Lytechinus pictus: one gene and its partners. The protein of the gene in region 4 binds, or shares a complex with, the protein of the main gene of each other region. Links are inferred from orthologs where the notes say so. Each region holds a gene or a part of one and is shown on either strand. Other genes may lie near its edges.

Region 1 (7,125 bases), on a different chromosome or scaffold from region 4:
AGAGAGGAGGAGGAGCAGCAGGAGGATAAGGGAGAGGAGGAGCAGCAGCAGGAGGATAAGGGAGCGGAGGAGGAGCAGCAGCAGGAGGAGGATAAGGAGAAGCAGCAGCAGGCGGAGGATAAGGGAGAGGAGGAGGAGCAGCAGCAGCAGGAGGATAAGGGAGAGGAGGAGCAGCAGCAGCAGAAGGAGGATAAGGGAGAGGATAAGGAGAAGCAGCAGCAAGAGGGGGATAAGGGAGAGGAGGAGCAGCAGCAGCAGGAGGATAAGGGAGAGGAGGAGCAGCAGCAGCAGAAGGAGGATAAGGGAGAGGATAAGGAGAAGCAGCAGCAGGAGGAGGATAAGGGAGAGGGGAAGGAGGAGGAGCTGCAGCAGCAGCAACTGGAAGAGGAGGAGCAGCTGCAGCAGCAGCAGGGGAAAGAGGATAAGGGAGAAGATGATGTGGAGGAGGAGATAAAGGAGCAGCAGCAACAGCAACAGGGGGAGGAGGCAGAGGATAAGAAAGAGGTGGAGGAGCATCAACAGCAGCAGGATAAGGGAGAGGAGGAGGAGGAGCAGCAGCAGGAGGATAAGGGGGAGGAGGAGCAGCAGAAGGAGGATAAGGAGAAGCAGCAGCAAGAGGAGGATAAGGGAGAGGAGGAGCAGCAGCAGCAGCAGAAGGAGGATAAGGGAGAGGATAAGGAGAAACAGCAGCAGGAGGAGGATAAGGGAGAGGGGAAGGAGGAGGAGGAGCAGCAGCAGCAGCAACAACAGGAAGAGGAGGAGCAGCTGCAGCAGCAGCAGCAGGGGAAAGAGGATAAGGGAGAAGATGATGATGAGGAGGAGATAAAGGAGCAGCAGCAGCAGCAACAGGGTGAGGAGGAGGAGGAGGATAAGAAAGAGGTGGAGGAGCAGCAACAGCAGCAGGATAAGAGAGAGGAGGAGGAGCAGCAGCAGCAAAAGGAGGATAAGGAGAAGCAGCAACAGAAGGAGGATAAGGGAGGTGAGGAGGAGGAGAAGCAGCAGAAGGAGGATAAGGATAAGCAGCAGCAGGAGGAGGATAAGGGAGATGAGGAGGAGCAGCAGCAGCAGAAGGAGGATAAGGGAGAGGAGGAGGAGGAGCAGCTGAAGGAGGAGGAGGGAGAGGAGGAGCAGCAGCAGAAGGGGGATAAGGGAGAGGAGGAGGAGGAGGAGGAGCAGCAGGAGGATAAGGGAGAGGAGGAGCAGCAGCAGGAGGATAAGGGAGCGGAGGAGGAGCAGCAGCAGGAGGAGGATAAGGAGAAGCAGCAGCAGAAGGAGGATAAGGGAGGTGAGGAGGAGGAGGAGAAGCAGCAGAAGGAGGATAAGGAGAAGCAGCAGGAGGAGGAGGATAGGGGAGAGGAGAAGCAGCAGCAGCAGAAGGAGGATAAGGGAGAGGAGGAGGAGGAGCAGCAGAAGGAGGAGGAGGGAGAGGAGGAGCAGCAGCAGAAGGGGGATAAGGGAGAGGAGGAGCAGCAGCAGCAGAAGGAGGATAAGGAGAAGCAGCAGCAGCAGAAGGAGGATAAGGAGAAGCAGCAGCAAGAGGAGGATAAAGGAGAGGAGGAGCAGCAGCAGCAGAAGGAGGATAAGGAGAAGCAGCAGCAGGAGGAGGATAAGGGAGAGGGGAAGGAGGAGGAGGAGCAGCAGCAGCAACAGGAAGAGGAGGAGCAGCTGCAGCAGCAGCAGGGGAAAGAGGATAAGGGAGAAGATGATGAGGAGGAGGAGATAAAGGAGCAGCAGCAGCAGCAGCAACAACAGGGTGAGGAGGAGGAGGATAAGAAAGAGGTGGAGGAGCAGCAACAGCAGCAGGATAAGGGAGAGGAAGATGAGGAGGAGGAGCAACAACAGAATAAAAGAGAGGAGGAGAAGGAGGAGCAGCATCAGCAGCAAGAGCAACAGGAGGAGGAGGAGGCGGATGAAGAGGAAGAGAAGGAGGAGGAGGAGGAGGAGGAGGATGATATGAACGACTCATCTGCCGTAGAGGAACAATGTGAAGTGAGAAAGCTGGGAGAGGTACAGGTGAAAGAGGAAGTCAAGCGGGGTCAAACCGAGGAGGTTGAGATGCTGGAAGGGGACAATCCTAAGGGGCAGAATCACTGTGAAGATAAGAAGCATTGCGAACTTCAACTTGTGGAGGAAGATATGGACAGGGATAGAGAAAATGACTTGGTCGAGGAACATCATACTAAGAGGAGGAAAAAATGGTGGCATAAATTACTATGCTGTTTCTGAAACTGTCCTGCAAAAAGCCACTTACGAGGGAAAGGGAGGGGGGATCAAACAGACAATATCAAGACCATCGTATGTTATCGAAAACTTCAGCATTCTGGCAAGAGCAAAATTATTCCCGGGCTCTTATCTTACCCAGCACCAAATCAAGACTGTTGCTATTCAATTATATATTTATGCCTTTATTTATCATGCACAATGTGATAATATTGTTATGTAATTAAATTGAAAATAAATGTAAAGTGGAAATCATTAGCCAATGTGAAAGCCTCTTCTTTTTTTAACTGAGAAGAGACGAAAGAGAGAAGGAAGGAAGGAAGGTGGGAAGGAAGGAAGAAATGAAGGAAGGAAGGAAGAAAGGAAGGAAGGAAGAAATTGAGGAAGGAAGGAAAGAAGGAAGAAAGAAAGAAAATGAATAAAGAAAGAAAAAAAGAGAGAGAGAGAAAGAAAGAAAGAAAGAAAGAAAGAAAGAAAGAAAGAAAGAAAGAAAGAAAGAAAGAAAGAAAGAAAGAAAGAAAGAAAGAAAGAAAGAAAGAAAGAAAGAAAAAAGAAAGAAAGAAAAAGAAGGAAGGAAGAAAGAAAGAACGAAAAAATAATAAGGAAGGGGAAGAGCAGGAAGAGGGCGATAGGAAGGGGATCTCTTTTCCGCCTTAGCTAATTATTCCGATCCCTGACCCAGTATATGCTCTAAAATAGTATATGCAATTCGCATGAATGTATTTTTTTAAATATAGGCCCTATTCTGGTGGAACAATAGAAGAAATAGAATTACAAGTTTAGGGGGTGTATTTAACAAAAACGACGTACACTTCTGAATAGCAAAAGAACAAGATGTCAAAAAGGAGAAAAATAAACATAACCAGAGTAAGAGAATTACCTATCGATAAGATTCCAAATTAGGTAGCATTTTAAATTAATATTCTCTAGAATATTTCATTTTCATTTTGCCAGGTATATTGATGATGTAAATGACAAATAGAATCATAGAGATCGTTATAAATATAATACGTAATAAGACAAAGTGAACAAATGAAACATATTACAAAACTACATAAATTACATTATATGGATCGAACCTATAGATGCAGTGTATGTGTGTAACAAAAATAAAGCTAAAAGCATGAATAATAACATGATTTTTTTTTCTTCTTGATAAGAGGGCTTAGGGGATACTAACATCTATAAGCCGGTGTGATCTAACAATTAAGAGCTGGCAAGAGTACTATATTGTTTTCATAGAATAGGCCCTATTAGCTTTAAGAATAAAATATGAGTTTGATTCGTATGACCAATAGTTAATTATGGAACAATTAAACGGCTTTATTTTAAACACACTTACATAATGGTGAAATGGGCAATCTTCGCTGGCCAGCAATATATTACGAAATTATTTTCCCCAATATACAGTATATCATTTTCACACAATAAAGAGTACCACTTATTGGGGAAATTTTATTAGCCTTTATATAACCTCATCTTATTTCCATTAAGTTTTAAAAGGGGGTATTATTATTATTTTTATTTGTTTGTGTTCTCAGAGTTCAGATCAAAGGTGCAGAGAATCTGAATATAGATTTTTTTCTGTGACATGTTAGTTGCCACATAGAGACTCGAATGCGAATGGGGATGAATAGACTATAGGGATGAATGACGAGTGCTCAATATTGCGTGAAAATTTTGTGTCATTCGAGACGCTGTAACTAAGACTAAGTTCAGGACCATGTTCAACAGTCTGAAATTCGACCAAGTATTTATCTTTGATTGTAAGTAATAATTAAATTACTAATGAATTTGTGGCAGACTTTGTGATGAAAATGGTATACAAATGGGCATGTCAGAAATTTATTTAGATCCCCAGAAAATGTTACTCCCTTCTCTTCTAATGTTCACTAACACAAATGTTTATGAGTGGGACTGGGCTAAAAAAAAAGCAATGGTGTTTCTAAGCAAATACTACCAACAAGCACTAGCAGCTCATCAACCTTGTGACAGACACACTGAGAGTATACCGAGGAGATCATTTGGGTGTGGAAACGACCCACAACAACAACAACATGGTGTTTCTAGACAGCTGGCAGCTGTCTGTTTAATGTTTCGAGGAGTTTTTAAACATTTTTATATTTTTTTTAATTTCTCCTCGATCAGACGGCTCGCTATCGTGCAGCCACCATTAGGGGGTTAACAATGCAAAATCCTCCCGACGGGGCTCATCGATTTTTGTCTTTATTTCATAAAAATATTTAAAATGAACTGTACCAACATGACCAAAGTAAAGATAATAATATTCCGTTTTGGCCTGAATTGCACCAAAAATAAACAAAAAAAGGGGAAAAAACAGTGACTTACTTCGGCTGTCGTGCAACTTCACTTCCCTGTTTTATCCGAACTTAATACATGTATGGCCATTGAGTCCCTGTATATACCGATCGAGCTAGAATTTCGGTCTCTCTATTTGGTGAGTGGAGCCAACGGAGTTCAGCGGAACGACTAACATAACAGAGACCGTAGACTAGTAGATGATGATGATGTAGCTTTAGTTTAGGCCTACAAGTACAACCGAAATCAGGAAGGAACATTTCTGACACTCCGACTCCTTTCTTCAGCTAATTTTAAGAGAGTAATGATTTTAAAGCAATTTCATATAGAGGTCTAGATCTAGATTTAGAATCTGCTTCTGCATGCTATTTGCCCAAATGTAAAATTGTTTTCAATGTTTCTTTAATTTAATTTGAATCTTACGTACATACAAGTAAACTTCATTTCCTGTGACAATCGGTCACTTGAGGAATAAAAAGTGAAACCACATGCTTTAGCAAATGACCAAATATTGGAAAAGACTGTTTTATGTTGTATAAGTATAAAAAGATTAATCTAATAACATTATTATTTTCTTTGATTGTTTTGTTTTTTACTACAGAGCCTGCACTGTGGGATTTAAATGGAAATTTGAATTGTTTGGATGCATCTCGGACTGGAAGAAGTATGGAGGGGACTGCTGTACTCAAAATCTTCTTCCCTGAAAGCTTGTTGAATGCAAGGAGTGGGTTGTGCCTTGGAACCACACACCCGGACAAACGGTGCATGTGTGTTTTAGCCATCGTCCATCCATCTGAAGATGATCATGCTCCAGAACTGGAGATTAATCTCCCTGTCATCGGTATATATGAGAACGTGAGCAGAGACCCGAGACCAGATACAGACGAGAAGAGTCGTCACATCGGCTGCATCGTTGAAATGACACAAAAACATCACAATGAGATTCCGGCTTGTAGGATCGTCCGATCACCTTGGCAACATGTAGGCGGTCCAGGGAACATTCGCATTCTCTTCGTACTGTTCAATGATTATCATATACTAAACGCCCAGTACGTCTGTTTAGACGATAGCAAGCGGGGTGCAGATTCAGCGAAGAATGATTCTCATGGATCCACGCCTTCCATGTTGAAGGAACATAAGAAACCCATAACCCACCAATGTGAGGCAGTGGACTTCTTATTTTCAGCTGTCCGTCACTTTTCTAAGAATGCACTTCCGGCGTCTCCTCCCAATATACCCATGTCATGTTTACAAAGAAACTCCAGTAGTAAAGGATTTCGTATATGCAGTCAAATCTGTGAGATTTGTTTTATCTTGCCAGTCTTATTCATGAGATCTCTGTTTTACTGCTTGGACAGTATCAAGGAAACAAGGTGATTACCTGCAATACACAACATGAAATGGTAGTTGAATCTCTATTTCATTTTTGTATTTTCCTGTTTCTTCTTCGAGATAGTGCTGTGCTGTAGTATAAAAATGTTAGAATTAGTGATGTCACAGTATTTTGTTACAGAAAGTGAAAAAAATCCCTGTTCTATAGTAGGTAGGTATCAGTAAGTTAGAGGCAAGCACTATAAACGTGATCTGAAAAAGCTTGGGCTATTTTGAGCTGTTGACAACCAGTTGTGGGATGAATACAGCTGTGATGTCACATTTTTTTTCTGTTGGCTTGATTTATGATAAGTTCTGCCTCTGTAAACGTCCAACAGGGTGTTGCAAGAAAATATTTTCAATCAATTGCAAATATTATGTTGCAATCAATAGCTGTTGCAATTTTAAAATTAATAGATCAATTTCAACTGTAGCAAATTGTTTCAAGAAGCAGTTTAGCAATCAATCACAAATCTACAATTAATTACAAGACATATGATTGATTTAGGGACCAACAATAGACTTGCAATCAATCACAAGTTTCTTGCAACGCCCCACAAGATTGCTTGTCATGTTTTTGATAATTGCCATTTTCTTCAGGGTACATGTAACCTGCCTTATATTTGCCTAGTTAATATTTTTGAAATTCATTTTAGAACACACATGTGTGGTCATAACTTTTTCAGATAACATGCTTGGTATATTATAATGATAATGTACAGACGGTAAAGATGATAAAGATTTGCTTACAAAAGGAATCACTTTGGTCACTTATTCCACATGATAGTAAGTAAGATATAGTAAGAAAGGGGGGGGGGGGACAAAAATGAAAAAGTGAAAAAGTCAAAGTCGTAAACATTCATGTATAATATCAAGTTACTGAGTACAAGTTTAATAAAAATAATTGAAAGGAACGTTTACTGTAAAACAGAAAGTTGATTCTTAAGATGGTTTGGAATAGTACTCCAAAGATGAGGACCGCTATAAAATACAGTATTCTTTGAAAAATTAGTTCTGACTTAAGGAATATGGTATTCTACAGCATCGCGTGTAGTATACTTATGTACATTACAATTAAGGACAAATTTAGATGCTATCAGAGTAGGTAAAATGCCTTTAGACAACATAAACATAAATATGGCAACATTCAATTTATTTGTCATATTTGTCAGCTTAGAAAATATTGGCAAGGAGTGGGCATTATACGGTGAATTA
Region 2 (7,740 bases), on a different chromosome or scaffold from region 4:
GATGCCATCTTTTTATATTGGGACCTTTGATATTGCTCCCGAATGGTTAAAATAAATGAATTTTCTGCCAATGTCATTCAGGGATCATGATGATTGATTGTAATCAATTAAAATAAGAGGGGGACAGGTATAATAATCAAGAGAGCACAGAGTATGGGGAATGGAGGAAGTGAGAGTTAGAAAAGGATAAGAGACAGAGAGAGAGAAAGAGAAGAGAGAAGAGAGAGGGTGAAAGAGAAACAGCCAAAGAGACAAATAGAGGGAGAGAGAGAGAGAGGAGGTATATAAAGGGGGAGATACAGGAACTGAGAGAAGAGATGTACAGAGAAACAGAGAGATGAAGGGACAAAAGCAGAGAGGCAGAGACAGCAGAGAGAGAGAGAGAAGTGGCAGAGATGAGGGGGTGACAGTGAGATGGTGGAGAAACCACTTGTAATACATATTGCAATAATGTAAATATGCCATCAACCTAGCTACAAAGAATACCATAATGATTGAACCCCTAAGGGAAGTTAATGCTGTTTGATTTAAACACATTTTTTTCATATCACCCATGTTCAAACACAAATACTAGATTTTAAATGGCTATTACACTTTGTTGGGCTGTATATTAATATCTTTTATTGAAACAAGGGTTTGATGATTGATTTGAAAACAAGAACTCTATGAATCATGAATCATAGTTTATTTGTTGCTAAACCCTAAATTGGAGATCATAAAATGGTAAGGGAGAATGGCCATTATGGGCCTGTAACACAAAGCTCAACAATCATTGCAGAACAATGTCTTTATGATTGTGTGCATTGACAACAATGTACAATCTATAAATAAAAATCAAGGGTACAATCAATCGCTAACATTAATATTGAAACGATTGTAAACAGCAGGTTAGATACAGGATAATGTTAGTTCCTTGTGGTACTTTATTCTGGCAATATAATGAGTTTGCAGAACAACAATTAGATGATCATTGTGACCTAATGGTGATATAGGCAGGGTTTGGCTCAATTACAAAGTAATTGATGAATTACGTAATTAATTACATTTTTGGAGCAATTTAATTTGTAGAGTAATTTGTAATTGAAATTTTTTAGGAGAACGTAATTGTAATTGAAAAATTGTAATTGACTCAAATTACTGTCAATTACTTTTAATTACATTCAATTACATTATAACTTAATTTATTATTCAATTTACTCTGGATTGCTTATTTCTCTTTTCCCTTAGCTATATAGTGCTCTCTTGCATGAAACTGTATCCTTTCCCATGATAGGGAGGAAAGAGGAGATGCTATTGCTATAAAGAAGTGCACAAAATGGGTGGCGCTACATACAAAATATGAATTGATCTGATTTATGACTTATAGAAAGTAATTGAATTGTAATTGTAAATTTAGCATATCTTCAATTACGAAATTGCAATTGTAATTGAAGAAAGTAATTGAGCCCAACCCTGGATATAGGTGATTACTTACTAATCATGAATATGATGATGATGACGACGATGATGATGATCAGATGACAATGGTGGCAATGATCAGATAACAAAGGTGGTAAGAATTGTATGACAATGGAGGTTACAATGATGATGAAAAGAACAAACTCCAGGAACAACAAAACCCTAGAATTAAATTAAATTGACCTAGAAAACGTAAGGTAAACCTCACCAAATGATAGATTTATTATGAAAATTGTGGGGGTTTGGCAAAGGTTGATATGAAATTCTTACCAATTCTTTGATAGCTTCTGATACTCCGTCAATCATTGTAATATCATTATCTCTGAAGCCAAATTCTTCACTCTTCATCCGTTCAGCTATCAAAGTAAGCAAAAAGCATAACACAATAAATTAAAAAGATACATCTACCTAGAGATCAAATACATGTCAGTTATCATGGCTGTCTTCCATCAACACTCTGGGTCCAATCATCACATAAACTGCCATCTTGCAAATCTCTGTCACCATTCCCATATGGCAGCTACAAGTTTAACTCAAACCTCGCATTGCCATTAGTATTTAAGCTTCTTGCTCTTGGCCAATAATCTTTGGAAAATTTACCACAAATTAGAGAAAGGTGTTTTTATATTAAAATCGTCATCCATGTACTTTTTATCACTTGTAAATAATGTGCTCCCCGATCCCCAGTCTTGTCTTCAGATGGCTACGTAAACATTGGCAAGTTTTTCCCCCGTCTTCTCAAAATATAATTCTTGGTGGTTTTTTTTAATGAATATTTGCTTAAAAATGAAATCAACATTCTTTGAATGTCGGAAATGAAGTTCTACATGTATCCCATGCATAATTTAGGGCTAGATCTTTTACAGGGAAGGTAGAAATCTTCGGGGCGAAAATTGCAACGTTGACCGCAGTATACGCACATGAATGGGGCACAATCCCTGGCTCTGTGGAGAATAAGCACACGTTAGTGATTTTTTCTCTCTAGGAGCCTCCTGGTGGAGGTGGGGGAGTATGATGGTTGTCCCCAAGTCTGCACACCTAAGAGTTGAGTTAAGATTTAACATGAACTTCTTTTTATTTCACAAAATCTTTAGGTTGATAACGTTCCTTATATTATTATGAGGAAGTGTGCCAAAAATCTCATAAAAATTTGAAAGAAATATATGATTTTCTCGGGAAAAACCTCAGTCAATCATTTTCAGATTCAACAAAAAAATGGTGCCCCATGTCTGCGCACCCATTCACTTTGCATGGGATCCAGGGATTTTGATGACAACAGCTGCATTTTGAGGCCGTCACATGAAATTACCATTGAAATCAAATGCCCAAAGTTCATTATTTTTCCACTATTTTGAGTCGTATTTTTTAATGAATGTCTGTCTATGTATTGCATTTGCATATGTATAGCTTGTGTTTGTTGCGTATCTTCTTTTACTAGAAATAGAATCGCGCAGGTATGCGTATGTGCAGACAAAGGGGGACTGCACAGACTTGGGGGAACCTGTCATACCAGAAAAGAAAGGGAAGTACAAAAAAGAGGTGAGAAATAATAATGATTATGAAAATAAAATGAAAATAGATAAATGATTTAGCATGTTTAGTAACATCTTACTGATCTTAGTATTGTATCGCGTTTTTTCCTGAACGTTATATAAACATGTTTTCTTTACCATACATGATTTCTTTTAAAAAAATTTGTTTTCATGTTGTTTATCTTATGATAAAGCATGAGGGGTCAGAGAGATTGCCGGCCATTTCGATATTTCAAGTTTGGTTGAATAAAAAATGGAAAAGGTGTGGGGAAAAGAGGGAGAAAATGTGAGAAAATAAAAGAAAACACATTTTTTTTAAATATTATATATGAGGCCCCTTATGGGCCTAAATTACCCCGGAGAAGTTAAAATGACATCCGTTTTGCCATGAAATTAATGACAGCCCCCATAAAAATAACTTGGCGCCATCCCAGATAAAATGCATCAGAGTGCAATCGAATGACCCCCAAAAATGTTTAAATGTGATATGTCAGTGTGGCTTGCCGTAAACGCATTTTCTCTCAATGCTGACGGTGGCGGGCGGTGTGCAAAGTCGATCATGCCTACGTAGGACATGTCTGGAGGTGTCTTTCTAAGGTCAAGGACCATTCTTCGTATCGCCCAAATCGGCTTTGTGAAACAGTTGAGCGATATCTCGTTCTTACTCTTAGTTCTTACGTAGAACGGTTCTACGAAAGACCCTTTCATGCAACAGGCCTGAGGGAGCTCTGGCCCGGAGCTCCCTGGGTTAGGCATGACCTAGAACAGTCAAAAGCTTCGGTCTCTGTTATGTTGGTTGTTCCGCTGAACTCCGTTGGCTCCACTCACCAAAATACAGAGACCGAAGACGAAGTTCTAGCTCGATCTGTACAGGGGACTCAATGGCCATATGTTTATGTATTACTATTAAGTTCGGATAAAACAGGAAAGTGAAGTTGCACGACAGCCAAAGTCAATGTTTTTTCCCCCGTTTTTGTGCATTTCAGGCCAAAACGGAATAATTAATCAATCATCATCTTTATTTTGGTAGGTCTAGTTAAGTTAGGCCTAGGGCTAGGCCTACAGTTCTTATCTTATTCTAGGCCTAGCCCTAGGGCTAGGCCCTATATTTTTATGAAATAAAGAAAAAAATCGATGAGCCCCGTCGGGGGGATTTTGCATTGCATTGTTAACCCCCTAATGGTGGCTGCACGATAGCGAGCCGTCTGTGTACGAGGAGAAATTAAAAAAAAAAATTAAATGTAAATAAAAAAAACTCCTCGAAACAGACGGCTGCCAGCTGTCTAGGCATGACCGGGCCCGGCCGCCAGAGCTTCGGGGTGTGTGTACGTGAATTCCCGGTATGGTACCGGGTTCCATTCGATGGTACGATACGGCGTAGGCTATAGCCTATAGTATAACCGCAGGGGCCGGGCCGGGCAATAAATAAAAACCCATCAAACCCAAATGTAATCCAAATTAAATAATAACCTAATTCTTGAAGACGCTGGAGTGCAGCATTCACTCCTGGCATTTCCGTGCTGGCAGACATTTTGGCCAAATTTCTCTGGATCCTGTTTTAAAAAAACCGTGTTGGACTTGGACTTTGGAGTACGGTAGGTCGCGAAGAGTTTCCCGTTGCCTGGGGTGCAAGTAAACAACTACAGAGGGCAGCATAGCGGAAGTATTTTGTTCAGTCCCATCCCACGTACTGATATCTGTGTTTATAAAATAGCTGTATTATTTCAAGCATCGCGATTGGTCAATACGCGTCACATGACATCCAACTTTTTTTGTGCACTGCACGGTAGTGCAAAAGGTGTGCAACGAAAATTGACATTGCACGCTCGAGCAAACCAGTGCGGTAGAAGTCCAACAAAACTGTACTGTAACTTTTAAAAAAATTGTTTCTGTGTTGCTATTTTATAAAACAAATAATGCACTTGCTCTGTCGTGCGTAAAAGTAAATGCAGAGAAAGCTCGGTTTCTTCAGATGGAGCACACTGGGCACTCGCCGCAAGCGGCTCGTGCACAGTGCGACTCCTATCTAAAGAAACCTCGCGTGCTCTGCATTTCCACTAACGCACTCGGCTGCATGCATTATTTGTATAAAATAAGACAGACGACTTGCATATACATTCACATACGAAGTTAGTGCTGGCTTCAAATTTGTCTAGATCTAAATTCTAAGTTAGATCAAATTGTGTTTCATCCGACGTCAATTTGCGGTGATGACGGCCCTTTAACATAATGATGGATACAGATTTGAAGAATGATTTCTACCATGCCCAAAATGTGAAGGAGGATGTGCAATTATTAGGCCAGGGCTTGTTGAGGAAAGGCCAAGGACATGAAGGAGGTGTGAAATGGAAAGATGACCAGCTTGTCTGTGAAATATCTGTGACTGCAAAACAGTCAAAACCAAGTTGTCATATAGGGGGTCTATTGCATATTTTCTTCTTTATGTCAGCAGTAGGACTCACGGTTTTGGTGAGTATATTAAGACAGGGCTTGTTTATTGTTGAATAAAATGTTTATATTTTAATTTTTATGAACGCAAAAATGAAAGTAAATCGAGGCGGCTCTGTCATGTCTGTTAATGGTTAAATAAAAAGATGAAATATAGTCATAATTTGTTTAAAAAGAATCACCATGCATTTGAATGTGATTTGCATGATGATAATCTAAATTATCTAGCTCTTTCTACATCACTAATTTAGTAACAGCCTATGGCTATGTCCCCTCCAGCTCCCCCTAAATTAAAGTGATGTATTAACTTTGTTGGTAAAAGTTGTGATTAATTGAATGTGAAATAGATTCTACAATGTAATATGTGTACGTCGTATGAAACATTTCATAAATGAAATGAAAAATGGAAAGTAAAATGAAAATGATGAAGTTAGGTGCAAAATATGGTCAGCCGAAATGTAGGGTCTTGTCTTTCTACTTCCATGGTCTTGTTCACTTTCCAAATTTCCTGGTTTCGGGATCCGGGTCGCTCTTGGCATTGTCACTCATCAGCCTCTATCGCTTTTGTTGAAGCTTTCATTTTGATTATGAAACACCGAAATTTTGTCGCAAATAGAAACTTTACTGAAATGACAGTGTTTGAGACTAATAATACCTTTAGCCTATATTGTGAGTCAAATTTGGAAAGCTTGATGAGAAGATCATGTTTAGTTAAATAGATATGATTACTGTATAGAATGAATAATTTCCATGGAATGATTTTCATGAATGTTATGATTTATTAAATCTTTTACCCAAATAAGATTATTTTAAATCCAATTTTCTTTTACAGTTCTGGAATGCAGTTCTCGCTATCATGATTAGTGTTCTGTTCTTTCTGTACATTCATTCTTCAGTTTCAAAAGGTAAAACTAACAAGTCCTTGACCTTACATGTGATGATTTTTTTCTAAAAGTAACAGTTCATTGATGTGGGGAGCTGAATGACAAAGTAAAACTTAAGAAGTAATAAAACTGGTGAATCATAAATAGAGTGATAAAAGCTACAACTAAAGAGCAGCAAACAATGCAAGAACTCAGAAGACAAAATAAAATGGATTGAAATTAGAATTCGGAGAAGTTATGTGTGTTGGTGTGTAGGCCTAATAGGAAAGGACTGAGGGAGACATGAGAAGAACCTGCATACAACATAGGGTAATCAGATAAATTGTACCAATAATACCTCATGAAATCTGAACTGAGGTGATACAGAAATGAACAGAACTATATATTTTACCAGACTGAATGGATTAAAATCAAACAAAATGAAACATACATAAAATTACCAATTATAATACATTGTGAATATTTTTTTGGTTTCGATTCTCAATTTTTACTGTATTTTTAATTTTTTTATTTCTGTAATCTTCATTAGAAATAACATTTTAATTTAATTCCATATTTGTAAACTCTAGGCCTATTTTTTAAGATCATTTTTCTAGAGTGTTTAAGTACACTTTGTTCTTGATAATCTCATTTTGTAATCCTCACTCATTGAATTGACTATCTTTTGAATATTTTGATGTACTGTATTGTTTCCACCTTGATTTGTAGAAACACTGCTTCTGATATCTTCCCTTGGGTTGCAAATATCTTCGGAGTATGTCACAGGACGCAGAGTCACCCAGTTTATTCCTTTCAGGGCAGTTCAAGACATTGTTATCCATGAAGCTGTAACAATGGTGAGTGATTTCTTATTTATCACTTGAGTGTTTTTAAAGCCAGGCTGACTTGAGAATCGATGGACAGTGTTATATCACTTAAACATCATCAGCGATTTCCCTCCTACCAAGGGTTACTGACTCTTGTGCCATGATAACAATCCCTCCTTATAAAGTGTTGTGTAACCTGTGCAATTAATCATTTTGATAGTTTTGCATTTGTACAGCAATGCAGGACTATGTCTGTGGTCCCAAGAAGACTTAGGCAGACTCACCTATCTTTACATTGTATGTCAAGTGGTAACTTTCTTCAAATTGCAAGTGAAAAATACTGCCCAAGTTCAGGTTTTATTTCCAAGATAACAAATAAAAAGAGACATGAAGTATTACAGTTTTTCAGGCACAGATCCAGGAGGGGGGGTGGCAGCAGCTGCGGGCGCACCCCGTAAAATTTGAAAATACAATGGTGGACCCCATACAATTCCTTCATTGTGCACCCTGTACAATGGAACAAGGACCTTTTGTGTTTTTTGTGTGTTTTTTTTGCTTTTCGGACAAATTTGCGTCCCATAATAGTCTGACTGTAGCCGGTCCGCGCCTGTA
Region 3 (7,393 bases), on a different chromosome or scaffold from region 4:
GCTTTTATCCAGCCGGCCGCGCCGGCCGGCTGGCGTGAGCTTTGCATGCTTCAAGCAGCTGTGAGTCAGCAGTCTATTCAGACTCAGGGAGCTGCAATACGAAATGTTGCAGCTAAGAAATCTTCCACAGAACTGTGAAAATCCAAGTCAAAGTCACATTTTACACCAATGAAAAGCCCTTCTACAGACCTTTTTGCCAAAATCTGGTGTATCCTGATTATTTTCAAGCATTTAAAAGAGGAATCATGACCTCTCTTTTGACTCAAAAAGACCGATTTCCAAATGAAAATAATGCACATAAAAACACATAGGTGAGTACATCACAGTCCCACGTGTTCATTTGAATTGTATGTATGTTGTTACTTGGTTTCTTTCGAAGCTGTGCCTTTTCCGGTCTTTTCTAGCCAAAAATAAACAGACAGTTACTTTCTTTCTTGTTTATAAATGACTTCTTAAACAACTCTTGAGAAAGTAAATACTTTGGGAAGGCATTTCATTAATATGAAATGTGAATTTTTCCAACATTTTGGCAAATATAGGGAAGGAATTTTCTCGCACTTTTTTTTTGCCGTTTTATTATTTTCTTTCATTTTTTTGACAGTGGTTAAAAAACCATTTAAACCCATTTATTAATTTTCAATGTTTTTCTTTATATTTTTCGGGCCACCAAACTTTAATATCGGGCCACCAAAAAAAATTATTTGAAGGTTTTGGTGGCCCGAACGGGCCACCACCAAAAAAAGTTAATGTGGAGCCTTGTCTACTGTAACCGTGGGAAATCCTAGCCTCAGAGAGGAATGATCCCCAGGCCCAGGCTTCATGCGGGAGTAAGCCTACGTATAGTAGATGAAGTTTTACTCCCCAGAAGCCTCCAGGCTAGCTCTTCTCAAAGATATATTTTCTCTGAAAAGATTCTTCGTCTCGAACACACATTTTTAATTGCTGAAAAATCTACCAATCCGTCGTTATTTCTTTGGAATGTCTCCTTTTGTAAAACATGATGTTCTTGCGGGATGCAGCAAGAAATAATTATTGCAGACGGACAAATATAGCATGCAACAATAAGTTACAATAGCCCCCCACCTCTTGTAAATTTTATTGTATTTTCCAAGGAAGTTAAGAGAACACAAAGATAAGAGAATTTTCAGAATACCTTGTAGTTGTAACTCGATATTTTATCTTGCGCACAGACATAATATGCGCCGATTATATATACACGCATCAATATATCTCTGACATCATACGCGCTCAGTGAAAGTTACAAGAAAAGTTAAGACAATTTTCGGAAAACGGATTTTAATTTTTATTGTAACTCTGTCTCTAGTCTAAAAAAGATAGGCTACAACTAGTATAGTGAGTGATTGTATTACCGACCGGCCTTGTATTACCGAACGCGCGCATCATACGCATCAGAAAAAAATTCATACATTCAAAATTTCGCAACATTCTTCCAAAGAGAACTTGAATAGAAAGATGATGAAAAATGGTCAAAAACTCATTTTCAAAGTCTTATTTCTCTTAATATTCTAAAAACAATAAAATTTGGTCAAAATAACTCATCAGTGATTTTGTTGTTTTCTCAACTTTTCCCATAGAAAACACGCGTTCGGTAATACGATACCTTTTTCAAGTGACCAAAATATTTCACATGCGAAGAGGGGTCCGATTGGAAGCAAAAATCGTAAAAAGGAAAAACGATTTCGGCAAAAATTTTACATATTTATATTTTGTAGGTAATTGTGTATTTATGGTGAAAGTTTGGTGAATTTTACGAGAATAATGTGCTTGATATGATTGAATTCATGAAAAGTGTTCGGTAATACGATCCACTACCATACAAGTTAACTTATACAAGAATATTATTTCTCTTACTTAGACTTAAGACAATTTTCAGAATACGGCCCGGGAAATGTGATCGAGAGAATTGCTATCAGCTATGACATTTGCAAACAATTACTGGGAGGAAAATTTGCTGGAAGTCTGCAAGTGCGAAACTGCATTTGCGCCGGTCGAGCTAAGCCTAAGGCTAAGTTAGGCCTCACACAGTCAGTGCAATTTTGCCAGCCCTGGACCCGCGCAGCCGCTAGCCGCGTGCTAACCCAGAGAGCTCCAGCCCGCGTAGCGGGCTGGAGCCCAGACGCGCAGTGTACAAACGGGCATTCAGGTGAGAGTACCGTGAAGTTTGGTCAATATCATTTACATAATACATAATTTAAACAGAAATTAAGCACTTACCACGATTGTATGGATGATAGTCTAACGAGTGGCAGTTTCCTGACATCGAGGCACAGACTGGAACCTCAAAAAACGATCAGTTCTGTCGCGGTGGCTCTCCTTCTTTCAAAATTCATAGCAAAATGGCCGTTCGAGAGGGTGTAGGGCGCATGCGCGAATTTGACAAAGTCTATATGCGCTAGTGCTATACTAGCCTCGGTCTCGATCGGCCATTTTGTGTTGAATTCTGAAAGAGGAGAGCTACCGCGACAGAACTGATCGTTTTTTGAGGTTCCAGTCTGTGCCTCGATGTCAGGAAACTGCCACTCGTTAGACTATCATCCATACAATCGTGGTAAGTGCTTAATTTCTGTTTAAATTATGTATTATGTAAATGATATTGACCAAACTTCACGGTACTCTCACCTGAATGCCCGTTTGTACACTGCGCGTCTGGGCTCCAGCCCGCTACGCGGGCTGGAGCTCTCTGGGTTAGCCGCGTGCCAACTTGGCCTAATCCCTGGGGGCCTCAGCAAAGCTGCCCTGCTCGAGCGTGGGCCTGAATTGCAATTGCGCGATCACAGTTGAGTAGGGTCTGCGCGGTGGTAGTTATTGGAATTTTTAATCTATTCTAATCTAAACCTACATTACATCCAAATTGTGAAACATTTCAACTCTCTATACCTACTTTCACAGTACATACTTACCGCAGACAGTGATTTACAACGTGAAAAATAGTCCAGCTCTTTCGGTCGGCATACTCGGCCTCCCGTCCATATGCTATGGTCTCCTCAGCGAGAAAACATTCAGGGGGAAAAAAATCGAAATAAAATGCGACCTTTCTTGACAAAAATATAAATAAAATATAACCCAGAAGGAAAAACCAGTAAGACCAGTAAGAATTTTTACTGGTTTCCAGTATAATTTTACTGGTTTCCAGTATATTTTTACTGGGCCAGTTGATTTTTAACTGGACCAGTAAAAATCAACTGGAGACCAGTTCCAACAATTGCATTCCAGTTGAAACAAAGTAGTAATACCAGTTAAATTGTTTTTCATCAAACTGGTGTTACTGGTCCAATAAATGGTTTCCAGTAGATTTTTACTGGTTTTCAGTATATGTTTACTGGACCAGTTGATTTTTAACTGGACCAGTAAGAATCAACTGGAGACCAGTTCAAACAATTGCATTCCAGTTGAAGCAAAGTAGTAATACCAGTTTAATTGTTTTTCATCAAACTGGTGTTACTGGTCCAATAAATGACTTTATTTCAAGTTAGATCATTTGACGAATTATGGAAAATGAATCTTGCAATTCAGAGAAAGTTATTATCGTTATCATTTATCATTGTTATCATCATTCTTATAATTATCATTATCATTATTATTATTATTATGATCATTGTTATCATTCTTAATACTGTTATCATTGTTATTGATATTGTAATTATTATTAATATTATCATACTTATCAAGTATTAACATTATCATTAGAATAATTATTTCCTTTTGGCTTTAATTATGATTAAGATCAAAGCAAGATATATTCCCGTCATATAGTCAACTGGTCTAAAGTAATGCATTGTTTGAAATTGAACTGGTCAAGACCAGTAATACCAGTAATTCTGATGATGCTGATCACATGGTTTACCTCATTTGCATATTTCCTATTTTTAACAGAAAAATCAGGATTTAGAATGGAATATCCTTGCAATAGCACTCTTTGTTGTTTAAAAACTTTCTTAAAAAGTGTGTGAACTAATTCACAATGAAAATGTGTAATTTCATATATCAGCAGAAAGATTAATTTACTAACCATCTTTTCCATCACATTTCACTGACCAGGGTATATAACAAACCAAATGCATGTAATAAATTGATCCAGTAAGACCAGTACGAAGACCAGTTCGACCAGTTCGAGGACCAGTCAGACCAGTAGAAAATACCAATAAAGACCAGCTTGAATTGGATACCAGTATGAAGACCAGTAACAATCACCAGAAACAAGACCAGTATAAACTTCCAGTAATTCAAGACCAGTTTAATTTTTAACTGGACCAGTATGACCAGTATGACCAGTTAGACCAGTAAACCGATGTTCCAATTTCCAGAGTTACCAGTTAAAATTCTACTGGTCTAACTGGTCCAGTGGAACTGGTTTTTCCTTCTGGGAAGGTGGTGAGTACGGGTGAGTATCTCCGGAAAATTTGGTTGGTATGTTGTTACAAAAATATATCATTAGGCCTTGAAGCTCCCAATTATTTCTTCTACATTCAATCAAGTAGGCTACTAGTACTAGCTTGTGTGGGATATTGTTATTCAATTCTGACAAGTTAAATATTAATAGATGTGCAAGCTGCCCCCCCCCCCCCCTAGTGGAGTTCACCGGGAAAATAAAACAAACGGGAAAAAGACAAAAAAGGGGAGAAATAAGGAAAGGGCAAGGAAGTGAAAATAAAGAGGAACAGGGGGAAAGGAAAGGGAAAGGGGAAAAGGAAAGGGGAAAAGGAAATTAGGGAAAGGGAAAATAAAACTAAGGAAAAAAAATAAAAAGGGAAAACGGAAAGAAAACGAGGAAAAGAAGAAAAGAAGAACATGTGTGAAAGATAAAAAGCGGGAAATGGAGGTAGAATGGAATGAGCCAAAATCTAAATTGGAAAATAAAGAAAAGGGACAAGATAAAACTACCGGGATGCCGAGGATTGACGATATAATTATCATCATAAACTTGCTAAATCTCCAAAGCTACCGGGGGCTCTGTCCAAGATCCCGTGCAATGGGGGCTCTTCATCTGTAACCTGTAACCTTTATAAGGGCTCTATACAGCATTATATACGGGCAATACGGCCCCTGTATGAACCCTTCCTGCATTGAACTTTGCGTTTAAGCACTGGCGTACCGGGGGTTCCACAGCCAATGGGAAATAAAAGAAAATAAAGGAGGCAGCGAAATGAGACGAATGAAAAAAAATATACGACATGATATTTGCTATGATGTAAAAATCTATCACATAATTAGAATTTCATTTCAAATAAAAGCCATTTTTCTTTCTGGCTCGCTTCGCTCGCTGGCGACTGTACAAATTTTCCCACATTTGCTATGGTGTGTCCCCTCAAAATATTTACGCAACTGCATTGAATTTATGTGTTGTGTGAAAGCTATATAGATAAACACGCAATATGATTAAAATTAGTGGCCATCTGTAAGGTTTAAAATGGCTTTAATATCAAGAGGTTCCGGGTCTCCGCCCCGGATCCCACCCACGTAGTTGCTCTGTTGTATGGATGAGTTTGGACCATGGCCCCCAAAAGTTCTACAACCAAAACAAACAGCAAAAAGGGAGGAAAGACAGAAAAGCAAAGGAAAAGTGTATTATATTTTTCTGAATATCACGTCAAAATCTAGTGTTAGATTCTCATGAAAAGGTGATTTTTTTTTTATCTCGCTCGCTCGGTACTTTAATATATTAAGCTACTATAATTGCCACACGCGCCATACTGGGCCCCCTTTGAGCATATAGAGCTTCGCCCTGATGCGCACAATCATAACAAAATTCCTATTCACCGTGGCGTACAAAAAAGGGAGAAGGGAGAAATATGATATTATCTTTTTTAACATTATGTAAAATATCTATCACAAAATTTGATTTTTGTTATAAAAATGTCAAAATTTCGCTCGCTCGCATTTTTATTTTTTGCCCGATACACCATATCACCCCCTCAAAATTTTTGCCTCATGCCTGTTCCATGATATGACCGGGAAATTTTTGGCTCTTGCCCCCCCCCCCCCCCCCCCCCCCCCACCTGGCCACCAACCCCTGTTACGCCCCTGACTGTTTAGTGTCAAAAATATAAAGCTGAATTGTCGATCGTCTTTAAGAAATTTCCCGCTTTCGTTAGCGCAGTTTGACCCAGCATCATCACAAGAAAGGTCAATTCTGGCACCTGCTTGTGTAGGCTTCCACTGCGAGAGCAAATTTAATGGCGTTTCAAAACTCAACTGTGTTCAATATCGCATTCGTATTGCCGAAGGTCATAAAATCTGAGCTGATCGCGTTTACAAACACAAAGTCCTTTTCAACGTTTAAATTTTCCACTGAATCGTGATTTGAAAGACGTTTACTTTTATAAACGGGGATGGAGGAAACATCGAACACACCCTTTGTTTTCTCACTATATCCGCGTTTTGTAATTACTTTTTCAATCATGATTCATTCTGCCGTTTGAATTTGGAAACCGACATATTGTACACACCCTTACTATCTTACGGTGTCACGTCTTCAAACAAAAACCCATTTTAAACAGATCAGAGCAATTATTTCTTTATAAATGAAAACAATATTCCTATGCATGGTGATCGATAAAAAGATAATTCTAAGATCGTTATAAATTATGATATCATAAGCTAAAACATGCATGTCAGCAGTCTCACGATCCCATCTTCAATTATGGAAAATGTGCTGTTTAAATATATGATTTGTATTTTTTGTGTTCAATTCACAAGTTCAGGACTGGGATAATTATATATACATACATATCAGGGGCCGCGGAAGCCGGGGGGGGGGGGGCTTCAGCCCCCCTCCTTTTTTTCCAAAATCGTGTACAAAAACGTAAAAATTACCATATGATTGTGATTGTTTGCATGGTAAGCCCCCACTTTGATTTTATATATATATATATATATATATATATATATATTTTTTTTTTTTTTTTATCTTAGTGTAATCCTTCTGTTCTGTACCCTTTGTTACACATTATTTACTTTGTTGTTATTACGATTTTATTTGTATGGTTTTGTTCTATTTTGTTTGTTTCAATGCATTATAGGCCTGATGAAGGCCCCACTGGCCGAAAGCTCGCAATAAAAGAGATACTTGGAAGCTACGTCTAGCGTTAATGCTTGATTTATTTACGCCTATATATATATATATATATATATATATATATATATATATATATATATATATATATATAAATGTGTAAAGTTATACATGTACAACAGCTTTGGCAACTCTTTTATTTAAATATTGTAAAGAAATGGATGAAGAGAACAATGGTAGGCGTAGCTTAAATCAAGGTTCCCCAGAGCTATCTACCCTTTGGAAAAATTGGTGATGCCGAAAAAATGTCTCTGCCGGGAATCGAACCCGGGCCCCCAGCTTTGAACGCCGGTGCCTTAA
Region 4 (7,557 bases):
TTAGGAATGGAATTAGTCGACATGCGCGATCGTTTGGAACATGCTTTTAAAGGGTTTTGAGGTTTAACTGCTTAACAATAAAATGAGTGATTTTTATTAGAAAGATAAACGAATGACGCATCTTCCGAGCAGTCGCAAAGGAAAATAATTCTCGTAGATCACAGGTCAATGAACGATCGGCGGGACATCTTTTATAAGTATTTTTATGTGAAGCTGAGCTCAGCTAAGTTCGCTCATTATAATATGTGATTACAGCCACGCCCAATAACCATTCCAAAGTACACCCATTTTGTTATAATAGCTTACTTGGTACATCATTTCTCCGAATCAGTTCTGGGAAAAGTTAAGTCACGCCTCAGTATCGATCTTTTTGTATACCCACCCACTCAACAATATCAGTGAATTACGCAATGCGCGCAAGCATTCACACAATACAAGATAGTTTTGTGGCATAGCCGAGAACTGGAACCGCCCAGACTCAACGGGCTAGCGCAAAATTCTTTACACTACCTTTTGGCATGTGCACGTGGTGGGTTTGATGGCTTATTATAATCACTCGGGTCGCGTTCGCGTTCGAAATCACTCGGGTCGCGTCCGAAATCACTCGGGTTTTGGATTTTTGGCGATTTTTTTTTATTTCGATGCAATTTTTTTTTCTAACGGTGTCTTCAATGGGACAAAACGCTGGTAAAATAAAATGAAATTGAAATTCTAGTTTCGTTTTAAGCTGGCAAGTGCCTTAAATAAAATGCACTCGCCTACTGCTTAACATAACAAACAAGCAAATCAGCCATGTGGCTCAACTATCCTAGAATACATCCAGACTACTGTTTTTCTACGAGGACTACGAGTCGGAACTTGCCATATCTGCCACATCGATATTACATCGTCATTCCCATGTGCGGACATGCATGCCTGCATGCAATGGCCCCAAGGCGGGACCCGGCCGGCCACGGTCGGACACGGCGTGCATCGGTAGCATGGAGCAAGGTAACGTGAGTCGAGCCGAGTTAGATCCCACGTTACAGTGCCAGTCAGCTCGTCCGAAAGTATTTTATTCAGCGGTATGCATAGCCAGCCATCCGTGGTTTAATGCATGTATACGTAATTAGACCAAAAGCTTCGGTCTCTGTAATGTTCGTTGTTCCGCTGAACTCCGTTAGCTCCACTCACCAATACAGAGACCGAAGTTCTAGCTCGATCTGTACAGGGACTCAATGGCCATATGTTTATGCATTAAGTTCCGATAAAACGGGGACGTGAAGTTGCTTGACAGCCGAAGCAATTAGTTACTGTTTTTTCCCCTTTTAAGTTTATTTTCCCTTTTTTGTGCATTTTAGGACAAAACGGAATAATAATATTTATTTGATACAGTTCTTTTCATATATTTTTATGAAATAAAGACAAAAATCGATGAGCGCCGTCTGGTGGATTTTGCATTGTTAACCCCTAATGATGGTTGCACCATAGCGAGCCGTCTATGTACGAGGAGAAATAAAAATAAAATAAAACTCGAAACAGACGGCTGCCAGCTGTCTAATACGTAATGAGCTTTGGGACGATCTTTCCGATAGGCGTTTTAAAATTCTGCTCTTAATTATTGTCCATTTCTCATAAAATTTGTCTTATTTTATAGATAAAATGGCCATATCATGTTTTAAGTAACTGGAGACCTAAAAAATTCCCTTATTCTCGAAACATTGCATTAGGTGATGTGCTTAATTGATCTTTTTTGTGCTCGCGTGCCAAACGTATACGTTGAGCTGAACGGGGATCAGTCTTTCTCTCTCTCTCTGTCTCTCCTACCTTTCCGAAATTAAAACGGTCCCTCGATCGGACATAGTTATTTAGACGCAGGACAAATAATGCTCTGACAACCAAACTAACTTTTCGTCAGCATTAGTAAAAATGTGAATGGGCTTTTAAAAGCTAATACTAAAACTGATCTAAAACTGATCTTAGATCGATTTTAAAATTGATTTTGGAAATCGATTTTAAATCAATTTTAAAATCGTAATTGTATGTCCTGTTGTAATTAACCGATTTTAAAATCGGCTCCCGATTTTACCACAATCAGCGCGATCACCTGCCAATCTTCGATCATGCCCCTTGAAGGAAAAATCGGATATAAAATATCGGCGTAGATCTAGTTACAGTGCGTGATCGTTCAGAACATATTTCAAGATTTTTTTGAGGTGCTAGCTATTTAGAGGTCGCATTAATCAGGGAGAAAGACGCGGTATTATCTCTGACGATGTCTACCAGGATAGATATCTTCTCTTCAACCTCGTGGTGATAGCGGACGCCGCCGTGAACTTTTAAAGGTCGTATTACCGACGGACATCACTGCACTACTCTCTTACCTCCTTTATGATAGACACTTCTCTTCAACCTCGTGGTGATAGCGGACCCCGCTTCTTTTATATTTCTTCTTGGTTATCAAAATTAAGTTAATTTCTGAAGATAGTAATAAATTGATTTGAAAACGCTAGCTCCCCAGAGCATTTTAATAACATGTTCCGAATCATCGCGCGTGCTTGCGACTTCTACTACATTTTAATTGCACTTGCGCCTTTAAGATAATGCATTGTATGAGATCAACTGAAGAGATCATTCCAATAATTCTAAATCGCTAGCACCTAAAAATACTTATAAATGATGTCCCGCCGATCGTTCATTAACCTGTGATCTATGAGAATTATTTTCATTTTATTTTCCTTTGCGACTTTGCTCGGAAGATGCGTCTTTATCTTTCTAATAAAATCACTCGGTTTATTTCAAAGCAGTAACACCTCAAAACCCCTTTAAAACATGTTCCAAACGATCGCGCATGTTGGCGACTTTAAAAAAAAATATTTTGTTCGCGGTCGCGCGCATCTTCCTGACAAAGTCACAAAGACGAATGCATTGGAATGGAAGTCGCCAGTTTTGTCCTAAAATGCACATAAAAGGGAAAATAAACTTAAAAGGGGAAAAAACAGTAACTAATTGCTTCGGCTGTCACACAACGTCACTTCCAAGTTTTATTGGAACTTAATTCATAAACATATGGCCATTGAGTCCCTGTACAGATCGAGCTAGAACTTCGGTCTCTGTATTGGTGAGTGGAGCTAGCGGAGTTCAGCGGAACAATGAACATTACAGAGACCGAAGCTTTTGGCTACTGATGCACGCCGTGTCCGACCATGGCCGGCCGGGTCCCGCCTTGGGGCCATTGCATGCAGGTATGCATGTCCGCACATGGGAATGACGATGTAATATCGATGTGGCAGATATGGCAAGTTCCGACTCGGAGTCCTCGTATAAAAACAGTAGAAGTCTGGATGTATTGTAGAATAGTTGAACCACATGGCTGATTTGCTTGTTTGTTATGTTAAGCAGTATGAGTGCATTTTATTTAAGGCACTTGCCGGCTTAAAACGAAACTAGAATTTCAATTTCATTTTATTTTCCCATCGTGTTTGTCCAATTGAAGACACCGTTAGAAAAAAAAATCGTATCGAATTAAAAAAAATCGCCAAAAATCCAAAACCCGAGTGATTTCGAACGCGACCCGAGTGATTTCGAACGCGAACGCGACCCGAGTGATTATAATAAGCCGGTTTGATTGACACTGCTAACAGTGCTATTCTTTGAGTTGGCTCACTGGCTGGATTAATGACAATACATGTATATCACTGCAAGTATGGCTTACATTATACATACAACACGCAACACATCCATACACACTGCTCTCAAACTCCCTTGCTATTATTCGTACCTAGGCCGTGTGTGCACTTATGGGCGGGATTTAAGCAGGGCATTGACTAGCATATACAACACATCCATGCACCCAGCATTCATATACATTTCTCAAACTCCCTTGCTATTCGTCCATTGTGTGAACTCATGGGCGGGATTATGACAAAAATTAGCGCAAGCACTAGCATACGTAATACACACAATACATTCCTGCACCCACGCGGTCACACATAGCTCTCAAACTCCCTTGTCATTCGTCCATTGTATTCACTCATGGGCGGGATTTATCAGCGTAAGCACTAGCATACATAATGCGTACAACACATTCATGCAGTCACACACAGCTCTCAAACTCCCTTGCTATTGGTCCATTGTATTCACTTATGGGCGGGATTTATCAGCATAAGCACTAGCATACATAATGCATACAACACATTCATGCACCCATGCAGTCACATACAGCTCTCAAACTCCATTGCTATTGGCCATTGTGTGCACTCATGGGCGGGATTATGACAAAAATTAGCGCAAGCACTAGCATACGTAATACACACAATACATTCCTACACCCACGCGGTCACACATAGCTCTCAAACTCCCTTGTCATTCGTCCATTGTATTCACTCATGGGCGGGATTTATCAGCGTAAGCACTAGCATACATAATGCGTACAACACATTCATGCAGTCACACTCAGCTTTCAAACTCCCTTGCTATTGGTCCATTGTATTCACTTATGGGCGGGATTTATCAGCATAAGCACTAGCATACATAATGCATACAACACATTCATGCACCCATGCAGTCACATACAGCTCTCAAACTCCATTGCTATTGGCCATTGTGTGCACTCATGGGCGGGATAAATGACAAACACAGTACAAGTACATGTTCATTGTTTGTATATTATACAATACATTCATTCCAAGTTACACTCCCGCCATACCAGTCAGCGCAGCTACCGGTAGGTCATCATAAGTAGGTCAACCTTTTATGAGTCATTTCTGACATTCTAGGAATCTCGATTGTTCGAACTATTCGATTGTTAAAAAGCTCTAAATAGCTAGCACCTCTGCAAGAACAATCTTGAAATATGTTCTGACCGCACTGTAACTAGATCTACAGGTATGCCGATTTTTTATATCCGATTTTTTCCTTCAAGGGGCATGATCGAAGATCGGCAAGTGATCGCCGATTGTTGTGAAATCGAATGGAATCGGTTGCCGATTGCAAAATCGGTTACAAGCTTACTATCAATAATGGAGTTACAGCTCCAAGTATGAGTCAAGCCTGTCAAGGTGTCTCCAAATGTAACGTGAGTAACCGTGGAATAGCCCTTCAGTCTCTGTTAAAGGGGAATCCAGCCTTGGTCATAAAATTTTGTGTTGGAGAGAAGAAAAATATATAAAAAAGAATGGTGAAAAATTGAAAGAAATCGCATATGCAATAAGAAAATTATGGCCGTTTTAAAATCAAGATCCCCAATACTATGTAGATTTCAAATTGGCGACCGAGTAAGAAAATTACGACAAGGGGAAGGACAACTTTCTTATAGGCCATGTACTTTATTATCAGGGATTTGTGGTTTTCTCTTTGGTACCCTTTCCCCTGGGGCAGTAATCTAAATATGACCCAGGTTGCATATTGTTTTATGTCCTCAAGAAAGAAAATTACAGTTTGAAGTAAAACTTTTGAAAATAATGACATTTTATGTATTGGAGTACATGGAAGAGTAGTCCTTGCCTTACATCACTATGACATCATTTATATGCGGCCAATTTGAAGTCTCTATAGGTATAGTGTCAGTGATGACCAATATTTACAACTTTTAAAAAATTATAACTTTCCTATTGTTTGTCCGATATTGTTAAAACTTTCACCAATAAGCTCGTCTGATTTCTCTTTTCCCTCTAAAAACAAGTTTTCATTTGGGTTGGATTGTTCTTCTGAACTCCGTTGGCTCCACTCACCAAATACAGAGACCGAAGTTCTAACTCGATCTGTACAGGGACTCAATGGCCATATGTTTATGTATTAAGTTCGGTAAACCAGGGAAGTCGGAGTTGCGCGACAGCCAAAGTAAGTCATTGTTTTTTTCCCCCTTTTAAGTTTATTTTTTCCCATTTTGGTGCATTTCAGGCCAAAACGGAATGCTTATTTTGGTCTAGACAGCTGGCAGCCGTCTGTTTCGAGGAGTTTTTTAACATTTTTTTTTTTTTTTTCTCCTTGTACACAGACGGCTAGCTAGCGTGCAGCCACCATTAGGGGACTTGCAATGCAAAATCCCCCCGTCGGGGCTCTTCAATTTTTGTCTTTAATGAATAAAATTTTTGAAAATTAACGTGACCAAAATGCAAATTAATATTCCCTCTTGGCATTAATTGCCAAAAAACAGAGAAAAATCAAGTTAAAAGGAACAAAAACAGTGACTTACCTCAGCTGTCGTGCAAATTCACTTCCCTGTTTTATCCGATCTTAAGTACATAAACATATGGCCATTGAGTCCCCTGTACAGATCGCGCTAGAACTTCGGTCTCTGTATTTGGTGAGTGAAGCCAACGGAGTTCAGCTGAACAACCAACATAACAGAGACCGAAGCTTTTGGTCTAATTTTGGTCTAGCCTATTTCTTTTGATATATTTTTATGAAAGACAAAAATTGATGAGCCCCGTGGGGGGGATTTTGCATTGTTAACCCCCTAATGGTGGCTGCACGATAGCGAGCCGTCTGTGTACGAGGAGAAATTAAAAAAAAAAATTTAATGTTAAAAAACTCCTCGAAACAGACGGCTGCCAGCTGTCTACCCAGGGTCTAAGTCTAACGTTAGCTCGAAATTGCAAACACAGTTATTAATACATTTATATAATGTAATCGTAGACTTGAATAAGAAACAAACAATTTGGGGAATTAGTAAAAAGGGCATGACGAACAGAGCGGCAGCCTGCCAGTGCAGTGCAGAGGCTTTAATTTCTAGAGCCTTAGCCTACACAAAACCTCATATGTGGGACAATTCGTTTACCTGTATGGATTACTGTCGACTACTTCCGAGCTCATCGTCTCTATTTTTTGCCTTCCTGTCAGAGAAATATTTTTATTCTTCTCTGCCTGTAACTCATCTTCTAACTGTTGTACTTTAGCTCGAAGTTCTTCAACACTAGCCATTTTTCTGAAGTGCTTTTACATGGAATTTACAACATATGGTAGACTCGAACTCGATCGGTTGTGTGGCTGTGATATCCGCTGTGTCTGTCTGTGTGCGTTGGCGTCGATCGACGACTAGTTAATAGGTCGGAGTTATAGACTTTTAATCTGTATAAATTCAATCAACTGTGGTCTATAGAACCTACTAATAGTACCCAGGCGAATTTTTAGCGATGTTACCCCTGTAGTTTTTTTTACAAATATTTTGTGTGGGAGGCATTTCAAGCAAGAAGAAAAATGAAGCATAACGTCTGGTAAGTTTCCTATTTTCATCACAGTCCCATATGTTGAATATGAACGTAGTGTAGTCCCAAATGCAAAGTTTGGTGTAAAGTCCGGCCATGGCAATGTAGCTTCTTTTCTTCTTAACAGTTAGACCTAGTTTAGAACTCTCGATCTACATGTAGATGCAACACCTCTTTAGGGTTAGATCTACTTTTTTTTCTGAAGGTAGGCCTTAGCCTAGACCAAAAGCTTCGGTCTCTGTTATGTTGGTTGTTCAGCTGAACTCCGTTGGCTTCACTCACCAAATGTACGAGGAGAAATTAAAAAAAAAAAAAAAGTTAAAAAACTCCTCGAAACAGACGGCTGCCAGCTGTCTAGCCTTAGCCTAAA

Evidence for each region.
Region 1: phosphatidylinositol N-acetylglucosaminyltransferase subunit A-like (region 4) and phosphatidylinositol N-acetylglucosaminyltransferase subunit Q-like share a complex: the UniProt entries of both Homo sapiens proteins name them as parts of the glycosylphosphatidylinositol-N-acetylglucosaminyltransferase (GPI-GnT) complex. The link is inferred for Lytechinus pictus from reciprocal best matches to the Homo sapiens genes PIGA and PIGQ.
Region 2: phosphatidylinositol N-acetylglucosaminyltransferase subunit A-like (region 4) and phosphatidylinositol N-acetylglucosaminyltransferase subunit H-like share a complex: the UniProt entries of both Homo sapiens proteins name them as parts of the glycosylphosphatidylinositol-N-acetylglucosaminyltransferase (GPI-GnT) complex. The link is inferred for Lytechinus pictus from reciprocal best matches to the Homo sapiens genes PIGA and PIGH.
Region 3: phosphatidylinositol N-acetylglucosaminyltransferase subunit A-like (region 4) and phosphatidylinositol N-acetylglucosaminyltransferase subunit C-like share a complex: the UniProt entries of both Homo sapiens proteins name them as parts of the glycosylphosphatidylinositol-N-acetylglucosaminyltransferase (GPI-GnT) complex. The link is inferred for Lytechinus pictus from reciprocal best matches to the Homo sapiens genes PIGA and PIGC.

Annotation. Positions count from the first base shown.
Region 1 is NC_087254.1:10,567,708-10,574,832, forward strand, and holds the start of phosphatidylinositol N-acetylglucosaminyltransferase subunit Q-like, read left to right. Parts: upstream 1-4,117; 5' UTR 4,118-4,156; coding exon 4,157-4,280; intron 4,281-5,140; coding exon 5,141-5,912; intron 5,913-7,125. Other genes in the region: trichohyalin-like, read left to right, coding at 1-2,226. UniProt on the Homo sapiens protein: Part of the glycosylphosphatidylinositol-N-acetylglucosaminyltransferase (GPI-GnT) complex that catalyzes the transfer of N-acetylglucosamine from UDP-N-acetylglucosamine to phosphatidylinositol and participates in the first step of GPI biosynthesis.
Region 2 is NC_087251.1:13,833,580-13,841,319, forward strand, and holds the start of phosphatidylinositol N-acetylglucosaminyltransferase subunit H-like, read left to right. Parts: upstream 1-4,740; 5' UTR 4,741-4,852; exon of another isoform or gene 4,853-5,038; intron 5,039-5,091; 5' UTR 5,092-5,219; coding exon 5,220-5,459; intron 5,460-6,270; coding exon 6,271-6,343; intron 6,344-7,030; coding exon 7,031-7,158; intron 7,159-7,740. Other genes in the region: centromere-associated protein E-like, read right to left, coding at 1,729-1,814, 4,461-4,521. UniProt on the Homo sapiens protein: Part of the glycosylphosphatidylinositol-N-acetylglucosaminyltransferase (GPI-GnT) complex that catalyzes the transfer of N-acetylglucosamine from UDP-N-acetylglucosamine to phosphatidylinositol and participates in the first step of GPI biosynthesis.
Region 3 is NC_087259.1:10,794,222-10,801,614, reverse strand, and holds the start of phosphatidylinositol N-acetylglucosaminyltransferase subunit C-like, read right to left. Parts: upstream 3,006-7,393; 5' UTR 2,922-3,005; intron 1-2,921. UniProt on the Homo sapiens protein: Part of the glycosylphosphatidylinositol-N-acetylglucosaminyltransferase (GPI-GnT) complex that catalyzes the transfer of N-acetylglucosamine from UDP-N-acetylglucosamine to phosphatidylinositol and participates in the first step of GPI biosynthesis.
Region 4 is NC_087245.1:9,799,907-9,807,463, reverse strand, and holds the start of phosphatidylinositol N-acetylglucosaminyltransferase subunit A-like, read left to right. Parts: upstream 1-4,555; 5' UTR 4,556-4,607; coding exon 4,608-4,705; exon of another isoform or gene 4,706-5,056; intron 5,057-5,662; exon of another isoform or gene 5,663-5,820; intron 5,821-6,556; exon of another isoform or gene 6,557-7,179; coding exon of another isoform or gene 7,180-7,196; intron 7,197-7,557. UniProt on the Homo sapiens protein: Catalytic subunit of the glycosylphosphatidylinositol-N-acetylglucosaminyltransferase (GPI-GnT) complex that catalyzes the transfer of N-acetylglucosamine from UDP-N-acetylglucosamine to phosphatidylinositol and participates in the first step of GPI biosynthesis.